Rattus norvegicus: one gene and its partners. The protein of the gene in region 3 interacts with the protein of the main gene of each other region in a biochemical or structural test. Links are inferred from orthologs where the notes say so. Each region holds a gene or a part of one and is shown on either strand. Other genes may lie near its edges.

Evidence for each region.
Region 1: the proteins of Eif4e (region 3) and Eif4g3 form a complex in vitro, tested with the Homo sapiens proteins (3 studies listed by BioGRID and IntAct, with this or other methods). The link is inferred for Rattus norvegicus from reciprocal best matches to the Homo sapiens genes EIF4E and EIF4G3.
Region 2: the proteins of Eif4e (region 3) and Eif4ebp3 form a complex in vitro, tested with the Homo sapiens proteins (2 studies listed by IntAct, with this or other methods). The link is inferred for Rattus norvegicus from reciprocal best matches to the Homo sapiens genes EIF4E and EIF4EBP3.

The regions. Positions count from the first base shown.
Region 1 is NC_086023.1:155,617,241-155,620,885, forward strand, and holds part of Eif4g3 (eukaryotic translation initiation factor 4 gamma 3), read left to right. Parts: intron 1-3,321; coding exon 3,322-3,645. UniProt on the Homo sapiens protein: Component of the protein complex eIF4F, which is involved in the recognition of the mRNA cap, ATP-dependent unwinding of 5'-terminal secondary structure and recruitment of mRNA to the ribosome. Functional homolog of EIF4G1.
Region 2 is NC_086036.1:28,538,969-28,542,701, forward strand, and holds Eif4ebp3 (eukaryotic translation initiation factor 4E-binding protein 3), read left to right. Parts: upstream 1-1,355; 5' UTR 1,356-1,384; coding exon 1,385-1,487; intron 1,488-2,484; coding exon 2,485-2,658; intron 2,659-2,774; coding exon 2,775-2,803; 3' UTR 2,804-3,102; downstream 3,103-3,733. UniProt on the Homo sapiens protein: Repressor of translation initiation that regulates EIF4E activity by preventing its assembly into the eIF4F complex: the hypophosphorylated form competes with EIF4G1/EIF4G3 and strongly binds to EIF4E, leading to repression of translation.
Region 3 is NC_086020.1:229,739,186-229,743,630, forward strand, and holds the start of Eif4e (eukaryotic translation initiation factor 4E), read left to right. Parts: upstream 1-1,567; 5' UTR 1,568-1,580; coding exon 1,581-1,598; intron 1,599-2,000; exon of another isoform or gene 2,001-2,072; intron 2,073-4,445. UniProt on the Homo sapiens protein: Acts in the cytoplasm to initiate and regulate protein synthesis and is required in the nucleus for export of a subset of mRNAs from the nucleus to the cytoplasm which promotes processes such as RNA capping, processing and splicing.

The DNA of each region.
Region 1 (3,645 bases), on a different chromosome or scaffold from region 3:
GAGTCTGTTGAATACATCTTTGCATACGTCTTCCACAACAACGCTCTGTTATAAAAACATCCATAACATACTAGGTAACAAGAGTTCAGACCTGCCTGACAACATTATTTGAAGGCAAAATAAATTTTGCTCAAATTTTAAAAATATGAACTATTTCTATTTTGACACTTTTAGGCCTATATACATTTCCAGGAAGGGAAGATGTAAAATTGTAGAATTCCTTTAACTGTTTTCTTAGAAAAAATTTGAATTAGTAAAAAAAAAAATTTTCTGGCTGACATACAGATGTGGGTGGATTGGCAAATGTTTTAGACTGTCTGGAAAGTACTGTGTTTTAAAGCACTGATTGGCAGCTCTTTGTGACTGAAGAAATCTTCACATCAAGTATTTTCTGGGGATTCTCCTAGATTGCCAATATGTGAAGTTGTTTCAGGACTAGGGAGGATTTTGTTCAGTGTTGTTTTTTACACTGAAGTGTGGTCTCATGAAGCCCAGGTTGGCCTCTCGCCCATGTGTAGCTCAGGATGACTCATGATTTTTTGCCATATCTCCTGGGTTCTTAAATCAGAGGTGTGCACCACTTCTCCCAACTCGTGTGGTGGTAGTGCTCCTGCTAGGCAAGCTTTTTACCCACAGATGCACCCCAGCCTCGGAGGAGCTCCTGGCACTGTATACCACTTGTAGTTGTAGTTCAGATGCTACTAGAAAGTGCTCTCAAGAGAAGGGTTTATTTTGTTCTGTTTGATTATGCCTTTTTCTTTCTTTATGCTTGCTTTTCAGACATTAAATTCCTTTTATGGTAAAGAAGTGTACTTTACTTAAAAGATTTATAAGCCGGGTGTGGTAACACACACCATTGGGCAGGGTCTGACCTTGTCTGTGTAGGGAGTTCTAGGCCTGGAGCAGCTTAGGGGGCTGCACTGTTATTGTTCCCGTTAATTGGTTTTCTGTCTTCACAGTGGATCTGTCACTGCCGAGGGTCTGCTCTGGTAACAAAATGTCCTTCCTGCTTGAACCATCTGACAGCTTACCCCATAGCAGAAAAATGTGGGCTTTGAAATCACCCTTGAATCATTTGCTTGTTAGATAGTTCCTGGACCAGAACTAATCTCTAAGCCTCTGTTTCGTCTTTTGTAAAACATAAACACAGTAGTCTCTGTCCTGGTGAGGGTGTAATGAAGGGAACAGTACAGGCTGGCTATTAGCCCAGCTTGTGCTAGGTACTTCATAAATGTAACTGCCATCATTAACCTGCTTTCTCAGAAGTCCATCTCATGAGTGGGGGTGCACCAGTTCCCATGTTTAATGTTTTATGGAGGTAAGACAGTGACTCAGTGTTTATAAAGAGAGAACCGTTAAATGTATGAGGAACTTCACTTGGTGTTCACCTCTGACTGACACAGAGAGAGAGAGAGAGCGAGAGCGAGAGCGCGAGAGAGAGAGAGAGAGAGAGAGAGAGAGAGAGAGAGCGAGCAAGCGCAAGAGCGCAAGCGCTAAGGCTTTTCTATGTCTTTAAAGAGCAGAGCCAGTGTAGCGTTTTGATTGATACCAGGGTGCAGGGCCCTAGTAGAGATGGACACGGCAGTCCGTATAGTCAGTCTTAATATTTTTGGGGAAGTCCACTCTGCATTCAGAAATGGCAGCTCTGTTGCAACTCTACCCTGACCCAGCTGGAGCTCTGTTGGCACTCAGGGCAGGATTGCCCCTCAGATAGAGGATGTGGCCACTCTTGGCCTCTTCCTAATGCATGGCCATGGCACCTGCTTGCTGGCCATGGAACATAGTACCAAGCTCCTGTCTAGGCCATGGGTTGGTCATTCTTATGATACATTCATTGCAGAAACTGGATCAGCAAATGAAGGAAAGTGTCTCCAGTCCCCAGACATGTTGAAGTAAATAAGTCCTCTACAGAACAGTGAACATCTCTAGGGTAACTTTAGACGTAACCAAGTAGTACTATGTGCCGTGTGTGGCCTGGGTAGTGGCCCTAAAAGATGGGAATTTGTCAGAGCTGTGTTAGATGTAATCAACAGAGAACACACACGTGTGTGATGAACACATATAGTTCCTTCCCATGTATTGTATTTTTTGCCCTGCCAACTTAATCTGAGAAATTTGGCGTTGAGCATTTATTGCTTTTCCTTACTGTGATGAGAAGGAGCAGTGTCGTAGGTAGACAGACGCCTTAGCTACCTGCCCAACACATGGAGTGAATTTTGAAGCTGTGAAGAATTCTCCTTAGCATGGTAATGTGCTCCGCTTTCTCTGGGTGGCAGTGCTCTCATTCACAGACTTCACACTGCTGTAGTCATCTTCGTGGGTGCAGGCTACATTGAGAGGAGAGTCGCTCAGACTTGGCTGTCTTAGATAACTAGACATTTTAAGGAAGAAACCCAAGTTGGGGGCATCAGAGACCTTCCTCTCTCAGTGACTCCCATGTCATTACCTGGAATCCAGTAACTTGGTTGATTAGCACTCCTTTCCTTTATGGTTATCAGTTTCTGCTTTGTTCTTATTTCTCTGTACATGGAGTGTTTATATATAAATTGAAATATATACAGAGCAAATGTTATACACACACACACACACACACACACACACACACACACACACATACACACATATAAACCTTTTCCCACACAGAGAAGTCCAGTGAATGGTTTATTGGATCCTTAGCTCTGGTTCCCTTTGAGGAACTGCTTTATTTTTTTAAGAACCCGATGATTCTGTTCCCTCACTGCTGCTGTTTTTGGTTAGAACCTTTTGGGAGAAATAAAAGTTAATTTTGAAACCACCTTTGATGTTAAAGTGCTTGTGGAGTTTATAATAATTTGATTTCTGATTATTGGTCTTTATACTATTGTACATGGATAGTAATGTGCCCCTAGTACAAAAATAGTCACAGGAAGCACGGTAGAGAGAGGCAGAGGCTGTTTTATCTTAGAAATGGTTGAGCTGAACTGTAATCCTAGCAGTCAGCAGGCTGAGGCAAGAGGACCATGAGCCCAGGATGCAAGAAAGGTGTGTGGGGGAAGATCTGAGGTTAGCTTCTCGTTCTCCTCTTGTTCTCCTGACATCACCACATAGTAAACTGATCCCCTGTCTTACTCTTGAGCAAGCGTCACCTGTTAGTGTCCTGGAGACTGAGGGCTAGGAAGTGTAACTAGAAAACAACCAGGCCAGTGTCTTTGGAGTCTGGTATTTTGGTCTGTTTTCTTAACCACAAGTATGGGTAAGCGATGGGCAGACTTGGCCTAAGACAATACTGTGTATTCTATGATTCAAAATTATTCTTAAAATATTTTATTTCTCTTCCCCCAGAAGAAAAGCCAAAACCAGACCCAGTGTTCCAGTCTCCTTCAACAGTCCTTAGGCTCGTGCTTAGTGGGGAGAAGAAAGAGCAAGCAGGCCAGATACCCGAGACTGCTGCAGGAGAGCCCAGCCCAGAGCCTCCTCGGACCTCATCACCCACCACCCTTCCTCCACTTGCCCGGAGTTCACTCCCTTCCCCCATGTCCGCTGCCCTTAGCAGCCAGCAGCTGCTCACTGCTGAGGACAAGTGTGAACTCTCTTCCTCAAAAGATGATGCCCCCCCTGTGCGCAGCCCCACGTCTTGCACAGCAGCACCAGGCCCTTCACTAACAG
Region 2 (3,733 bases), on a different chromosome or scaffold from region 3:
CCAAGCCAGGACATTGGGCGTTACCCTAGCTTATCTCTATTTTCCTCAGCCTGCCCTTGCTCAGTTCACTTTATCTTCCACCTTTAAGTTTTTATTACACTTATTGGGGGAGGGACATGTGCATGTTTCTGTACCTGTGTAGAGATTAGAAGACTATTTACAGGAATTGATTCTCTCTTTCCACTTTATGAAGTCCTAGGGATTGAATTTAAACTGTCAGGCTTGACAGCAAGTGCTTTAATCTACTGAGCTATCTTACTGGCCCCCACTTTGTCCTTCTTTTGTGTATCTAAGTTTCATCCACTTCTCTTGTCTCCATTGTCACTACCCAATTGACTCATCTGCAGTATCACCGTCCATCCTCTCCACCATTCCTCTATTCAGAACCAACGGGCTAGTTTCTCAGTTTGCTTAAAAGTGAAATTAAATTGTCAGACAATATCCAGTCTATTCAGTCATGCATCACTTTGTAAGAGACTCCAGTCAGTACATTTTTGGGAATAATAAAATGTATGTACACTTGCTACCTACAGTATGACTCTGAAAACCTGCAGCTTCTGCATTAACAGGAATCACCTGTCAAATCACTGTGCATAGACATTTTGTCAAAACCAATCTCAGCCAGGCTTAGTAGTACATGCCTTTAAGGCTAGCACTCAGAGGTAAAGGCAGATAGACCTCTTAATTCCAAGCCAGCCTGATCTACATACCAAGTTCCAGGGCAGTGAGATCCTGTCTGAAAAATAGTAATAATCTAAATAAAATCCAGTCTGTGAGGCAAGCCTATCTTTTCTGTTCCTTTCCAGAGAACTTAACAGCTAAGCCTTCCTTACCAAGCTCTCAGTTAGCTATGTCTGATCAAAGGGCTGGCCTCCATGGTCTAAGTATCTTGACTACTGTGTTTCTCCAGGGTCTAGTTTAATGACCTTTAAAAGTGTCATATTCAAAAAGCTTATGCTCAAGGGTAGGCCATAGGATACCTTGACCAACTACAACAAATTGGTATCCATGGCACTACAAAGCTGGGCTGAAGGATCCAAACTCTGAAGTCAACTTAAATGAGATCCTGTCTTCCCCTCCTATAAAACCTGTGGGCATATTTTTATCATAAAACGTGATTAATAATACTACATTACTCCTTCCAACATCCAGGTCTTACTAGTAAATAAACTTCTCAACCAACATCTATCTCTCAGGTCAGTCAGTACAGATCCTGAGTTTCCTGGGCAGGTGGGTGGAGCGGGTGGGCGGAGCCCTCAAGTTAACTGGCCAGTGGCCCGCCCCGGGTATGACGTATCCTAGTATTGCCTGCTGCGACTGCCTCCACCTCAGAGCTGTTTTCCACGGTTTTAAGGCACCAGCTGTTGCCTTCCTGCTGCTCACTATGTCCACGTCCACGAGTTGCCCAATTCCAGGGTCCTGGGACCAGCTGCCAGACGGCTACAGCACCACGCCTGGCGGCACACTATACGCCACTACCCCGGGAGGTCAGCGGGCAGGGCTGGGGTCTGTGCTCTGTGGGACAATATGAGGGTGAGGTGGGGTCGATCTTAGCATTGCTTTCTCAGACTTCTCTTCAAATTATAGCACTGAGGGAAGCCTATTTGAAACTTGTTTTCCCGAAAACCCAAAGCAGTGAAACAGTGCTTTATACCTGGCTTTCTGGCGATTCAGGGGGATAATTCTGTTGTGCTCCATGCCTATGCTGCACCAAAATCACTGGTCCTGGGTCCCAATATAACAGTGGTTCTCAACCTTCCTGATGCTGTAACCCTTTAATACATGTTATAGTGAACCCCAACCATGAAATTACTTTTGTTGCTAAAGTTAAGAATCATAATGGAAACATCTTTTTTCCTGGTGGTCCTAGGCGACCCCCATGAAAGGGTTGCTTGATATCCACCCCTTGTATAGCAACCCACAGGTTGAGAACCACTGCAATAGGTGACCTCAACAGAAAGCAGCAAATAATATGTAGTAGTTGTGGCACCTGGACCATAAGCTGCTGGGCTGGCAAACAGGTTTCTACCTACTTCGTGGAAGCAGACGGGAACAGCAAAAACAGGGCAGGGATCTTTGAGGATACTTTGCTGACCATATATTCCCAGGGGTGAGGCTAGCCCTGAAGGACTTTGGATAGGTGAATGGCCCATCATGTTTACCAAAGAATGCAGCTTCCTTTGCAAGAGGTGAGGTTAGGCCCCACTTTATACACACATCAAAGCAATGAGAACTGGAGACTAAGGACCTCAAGTATCTAAGTTTAAAGTGTGGTATTCCTTCTTCAGGCTTCCACCACCACCACCACCCTAGCCTAAAGCACCCTACATAGACTTACTTAGAATATTTAACTTGCCTTAATGAATGCTTAGACTAAACTTGGTTGTGTGCACAAGTCCTTTATAATGTGATGGTTTGCCAGCTGAATCCGAGCTTGGCTCTGTCCAAGTTCCTAACTCTACCTCAATCTATACTCCTTCACAGGCACCAGGATCATCTACGACAGAAAGTTCCTGCTGGAGTGCAAAAACTCACCCATTGCCCGGACACCTCCCTGCTGCCTCCCTCAGATCCCCGGGGTCACAATTCCCCCAACAGTACCACCCTTCAAGCTGGAGTTGCTGAAGGAACAGAAGCAGACAGAGGAAGAGATAACCGGTAAGAAAATGGTTCAACTATTAACTGCCTTTGTGAAGCAGAGTTGGGATTCAATTCTAAGAGAGCTTACCAACCCTTAGATGGGTTAACTGTGTTCTCTTGTTTTCTCTCCCCAGATGACGAACAATTTGAAATGGACATGTAATCTAGTGCAAAGTGACCTGTGTGGAATTATGGAAGGAGCTCTCATGCCACTATTGTCATCACCCCTTCTAGGGTATCCAGGGCCAGCTGGCCTCATCTAATCTGGAAGTGAATTGTTGGTTCTGAGCTTCCTTTAGTTCTGAGGCAGCTAGACCAGGGATAGCAGTGGGCAACCTGCCAAGCCTTTAGCTTTCTCTGGTCTATACATATTCCTCCCAAACTCTGCTCTTCCCCTCAGGGCTGGCACTGGGGAACAGAGTATGTCACCTTCTGGCTGCTTAGTAAACTTTCAAAAAACTGTCTTGGCTCCATTGTCCTCCTCAGTGCTAAATTCACAGCTGCACAACTAAGGCATAAGTCTGTTTCCAGCTCCCACTGGCCCACTTTCAGCAAAATCAGGGCATGAGGGAAGGCTACTGGAATTGCCAGGCACAAGCAACAGCCTGAGCCTTGCTAAGGTCTAGCAGTTCTTGTCTTTCCAGGCAGCAGCCTTCCTGGAATTAGATTGTTCTAGCAGCCCCTCCCTCTCCATTTGTAAGCTGGAACCCTGGAAGAGATGCTGTTTCACCTAATAGTGATCCCCAATTTTTTGCCCTGCCTTTTCTGCTTATTACTTCTAAGTACCAATCCCTAGTTCAGTGCTTGAAACCTTATATCCTCTTCTCAGCATAACCACCAATATGTTTGTTTCACAGCTGTTTCTTCCTTTCTTTTTTTAAAGTGTTAGAAATGACTTTGGGGATGGTGCTGGAGAGATGGCTCAGTAGTTAAGAGCACGGACATCTCTTCCGGGGGTCCTGAGTTTCAAGTCTGGACAACAGAACCACATCTTACAACCATCTACAGTAGGATTTGATGCCCTCTTCAGGTGTGTAGGCATATATGCAGATAGAACACTCATGAACATAAATCTTTTTTTTTTTTTCTTTTT
Region 3 (4,445 bases):
CGGTCTTGGTCTTGAGAAACGATGGCCCAGTAACTTAGAAGAAAATGTGGCATGCCAGTGTAGGGGCAAATTTCTGCTTGTTAGAAGTTGTTATGAACATAATTTCATGAACATGAAGTTTCTGTTGGGAGCAGCGACATTCGTAAAGAAAAGCAAAGTCTTGAAACTTTAAAACTGCATTGGTGTACGTAACAAAGTAAACAAAAGAAAAATTTAAAACATTGTTAAGGGTTGGGGATATAACTCAGTTGGTAGAGTGCTTATTTAGCACTCCGAAGCCCCGAGTTCCATCCCTCTCAGCAAAAAAGGGCTCTCCCCGCCCCCACTACCAGCACGTGCCAGTAATCCCAGTACTTTGACAGGGAGGTGGAGGCAGGAGGATCAACAGTTCAAGACCATCCTCCCCTACATCTTAAGTTCAAAGCCACCGTGCGCTACAGGAGACCCAGGGTCAAGAAAAAAAATTGTTAAAACAGCAGCGGAGGCGGAGGCAGCCGGTGCTTAGAAGGCACGCGCTTGCTTCTAGATTCCGAAGCGTTTTCAAAGCTGGTTACAGTCCTTACCACAGCACACCCTTGTGAGGTAAGTGTATTATCATCTTTGGTTCATAAATGAAAAAGCTGAGGCGCTGAGTGATTAAGTCACTCGCCTAAGGAGCATGAGTCAACGTCAAGAGTCATAGTTGACCCGGCTTAACGACTCCTGACCCTCAGTCCAGGGCTGAGTCAGCGGAGCCCGGAGTGGCTTCCCTGGCTGGCACCTGGACGTAGGCTATTTCCGTTCACGTCCAAGCAGAATACTGGAACCGATTGGACAGAACTTTCCAAACTTTTTACGTCCAGCAAGATTCACCCCTGACGCCTTCATCTCAGGACTGGGAACAGGAAAAGCCGACGCGTGCACTCCCCTTCCCCAAGCGTGTGAGTGGGTACCGTGGGCAAGCCCGCCCACCCGCTTGGGCAGCGATGGCAGCAAGGGACCACCCGCGTTAGTGGACCGGGGACGGGGGAACGCAGACCTCATCAACGACTCTCCATCGCCGCCTCTTTCTGAAACCAAGAGAAAATGGTGGGAGGCGAAAAGAAAACTAAATAAAAACACAAGCAACTTGTCTTAGGACCTCAGCTAAGCAAATGAAGCCTTCTTGCGTGTGCTGAGCCTGCAGTTCTCAACCTTCTAGGAAAGATGGGAGGACTGGGCGACAGAGGGCACAGCAGGAATGCCCAGCAGTGAGAGCAACCGGAGCTCTGCCCGCTGCACCGCAGAGGCCTAAAACCTACTCTGCAGGAAGTGCGGGCGGCGCTGGGAGCCGCGCACCCTCGCCAGCGACCACGTGATCACTTTTTTTTTTTTTTGGGAGAAAAAACTTCCTTGCCTTAAGAGAAAAAAAAAAAAAAAAAAAGAGACTCCACTTCCCAGAAGCCTCTTGTTCCCCAAGCAGCTGCAGTCTTGCGCAGGCGCCGCCAGGGCCAAACGGACACGTCCGTCACGTGGGCAGGAGCCGGCCAATCCGGTTTGAATCTCATTTTTTTCCTCTCGCCCCCCCTTCAGGAGCGGTTGTGCGATCAGATCGATCTAAGATGGCGACTGTGGAACCGGTGAGTATTGCCTTCGGCCCCCACCCCCGAGGTCCCCGCGCTCTGGCTTCCTCCGCTCAGGGACTGTCCGCAGGACGGCGTTCCCGGCGCGCACAGCGCCTCCGGCCGCGTCCTGCCCCTTTCCCACCGGCCTGACCTTCCGCGGGCAGCCTCGGCGCCGGGAGGCTGGCGGCGGCAGCGTGGAGCGCACACGCCGTGTGGGGGCCCGGGCACCGGGTCGGTGGGGGAGGGGCGCCGCGCGGCCCTGCGGTGCGGCCGGCGGAGGGCGGCTCGGGCCGCCAGCGCGGGATCGGTCTGGGGTCCCGGTGGGCGTGGGGCGGGCGGCTCCTAGCGGGCACCGTGGTTGGCGGGGCGGGTGGGCGGCGAGCTGGCCTGAAAGAGTCAGAGGGAGCCTGAGGCAGCGGCGCCTCGCCGTCGCCCGCGCCCCGCCGCCGGGGTCCTCGTGCGGGCCGCGCTCTCAAGCTGTGGAGGAGGGTGGGTTGGCGGAGCCGGTGGGCGCGCGGGGCCGGGCGGGCGGGGCGCGGCAAGAAGGGGAGCGCGTCCCGCGGGGAGCTGGGGGCTGTGGCGTTGAGTGGAGAGCACGCCCAGGGGTCGTGTCGCGCACCTCCGGGGGCCGGGGAAGGGGGCCGGCCGAGAAGGTGATCACATTGTCCTGGCCCCTCCACGCCGGGACTGGGCTGTCATGGAGGAGGGAAGGGGGAGGAGCGAGGCCTACAGTTCGCTCCAGCGGGTCGGCTGGCCGTAGACCTGCATTTCACACGCGCCGGGCTTCCATTCATTCATCCTCCCGGCGCAGTGCGCACGCCTCCGAGGACCGTGTAGATTCTTCTACTCTTACGCGAGGAGATCGTCTGGGAGATACTCAAGGAACACTAATTTTGGAAATAGGAACTTTGGAGATTATCTTTTCTTTAATTAAAGGAAGGAAAATTAAGCGTGGGGGCAGCGGCGCGAGCCAGGGCTTGAGTGTGAAGGTCAGAGGGCAGCTTTTGGAGTCCTGAGAATCGAAATTCAGGAGCCTTTTCCGAACCATCACTTAAGCGCCTCAACATCTGCTTTTCCACTGATGATTCCTCCTCACTCTACACTGCTTCCCTCTTAATTAAAGCGCTATTTTGAAGTTAATTGAAGCAAGATGCACAGAGAGCATCACGTAGGTAAACCCGGTAGCCAGAAGGTGGTGATTTTTTTTGTTGTTGTTTTTGTTGTGGTTTGGGTTTGCCGGCAGCTGGCTCACTGGTCTTCCATCCCAGATTTTTAAAGAATGTCACACCTGTGTGATAAAAATCTCAGGTGCAAAAAGGCATAGACTAGCAACCAGAAACCTTTGTATACCACCTTTGCCAGATATTTTTAAAACTCACCCATAGACTGAATAATTTTGATTAGTTTGCAAAACAGCCTTATCTTGGCAGAATTCAAGACTACTTTTTTGTGGGTGGAGGCATGATTTACTTGTTCCTTATTGACATCAGCTTTCCTGCATTTTGCAAAGCTGCCTAATAAGTTGTTAGTGAAATTAACTAACTTTAGAATATCAATGTAAGAACAGGAGGGGAAGCATTTAAATTTAACTTAAACTCTTGACAAGTTCTGCCGTCTACTTCTGACTGAATCTTCTACCTTTCTCTACCAGTATTAGAGGAAAATATTACAGGTAATAATAGAGGCAAAACTAAAAAGACCTAAGTAATAAAACAGCAGTGTGAACTATGACTCTCAGTTCCATTTAAGTCTTGGATTGTGCTAAAGCCACAATGTAGTCATTGGATTTTGTTCTGAGTCAGCTCAGAGTTGCTGATACCTTTTGGGTGGTTACCAAGTGATATTTAGAATACAAAGTTATATAAAATGCGGTCTGTGCTTTGTGAGCTCTTATGGAGCCTAACTGCCAGTGTCAGGCTCAGAGGTGAGATACTCTTCCTACTGATGACCCTGTTGATGTGCATAGTGTGTGTAAATTTAAGGACAAGAGAAGCCTAGAAGCCTAACATGTGAAGGGTGGAACTTGGGTTGAAACTAGTTGGAGACAGTGTGCAAAGTGACACTGAGGTGCTCATTTTCTGTTTACTGTTAGCACACCCTTGCTTAGAGGCTAGTCATACAGTATTTTAATATTTGTAAGATTTTTTTTTGGAGCTGGGCGGTGGCTGCGGGCTACTTTCATCCCAGCACTAGGGAGACAGAGGCATTTCTTTGAGTTTGAGCCCAGCTTGTTCTACAGAGCTAGTTCCAGGATTCCCTCCAAACTGAAAAGATTTGGTTTGGATGCTTGATTTGTAGCTCAGGACCTGGTGCATTTACTAAGTTTATTCTAGCACTAAACTACACCAGTACGTTGTTTTTGAAGTACTTTATTCAGAGGCTTGGCAGAAAGGTTGTATGTAGAAGCCCACGTTGTCTGCTGTCCTGTGCAGGGCAGACCTTAGAGGTATCCCCATGGCTTAGAGCACACTAGTACTTTTTAAAAACAGATGATTTAGTCTACTATTGGATTACAGTTGAAGCTTGTAAAAATTAAAAATCTTATTTGGTCATTGCTATTTTTATTTAGCTTATGAGCTTTTGTGAGTTTTTTGTTTGTTTTGGTAGAGTATTTAATTGTAAACACTTAGAACACTGGTTCTCAACCTGTGGGGTGTGACCCTTTCGGGGGGGGGGGTGTCTAAGGACTGAGCTGCCTAAGACCACCAGAAAATACAGATATTTACATTGATTCATAACAATAGCAAAATTAGTTAGAAAGTAGCAGTGAAAATGGTTTTATTGTATTGGGACCACTATAACATGAGGAACTGCATTAAAGGGTCACAGCTTTAGGAGGGTTGAGAACCACTGACTTGGAGA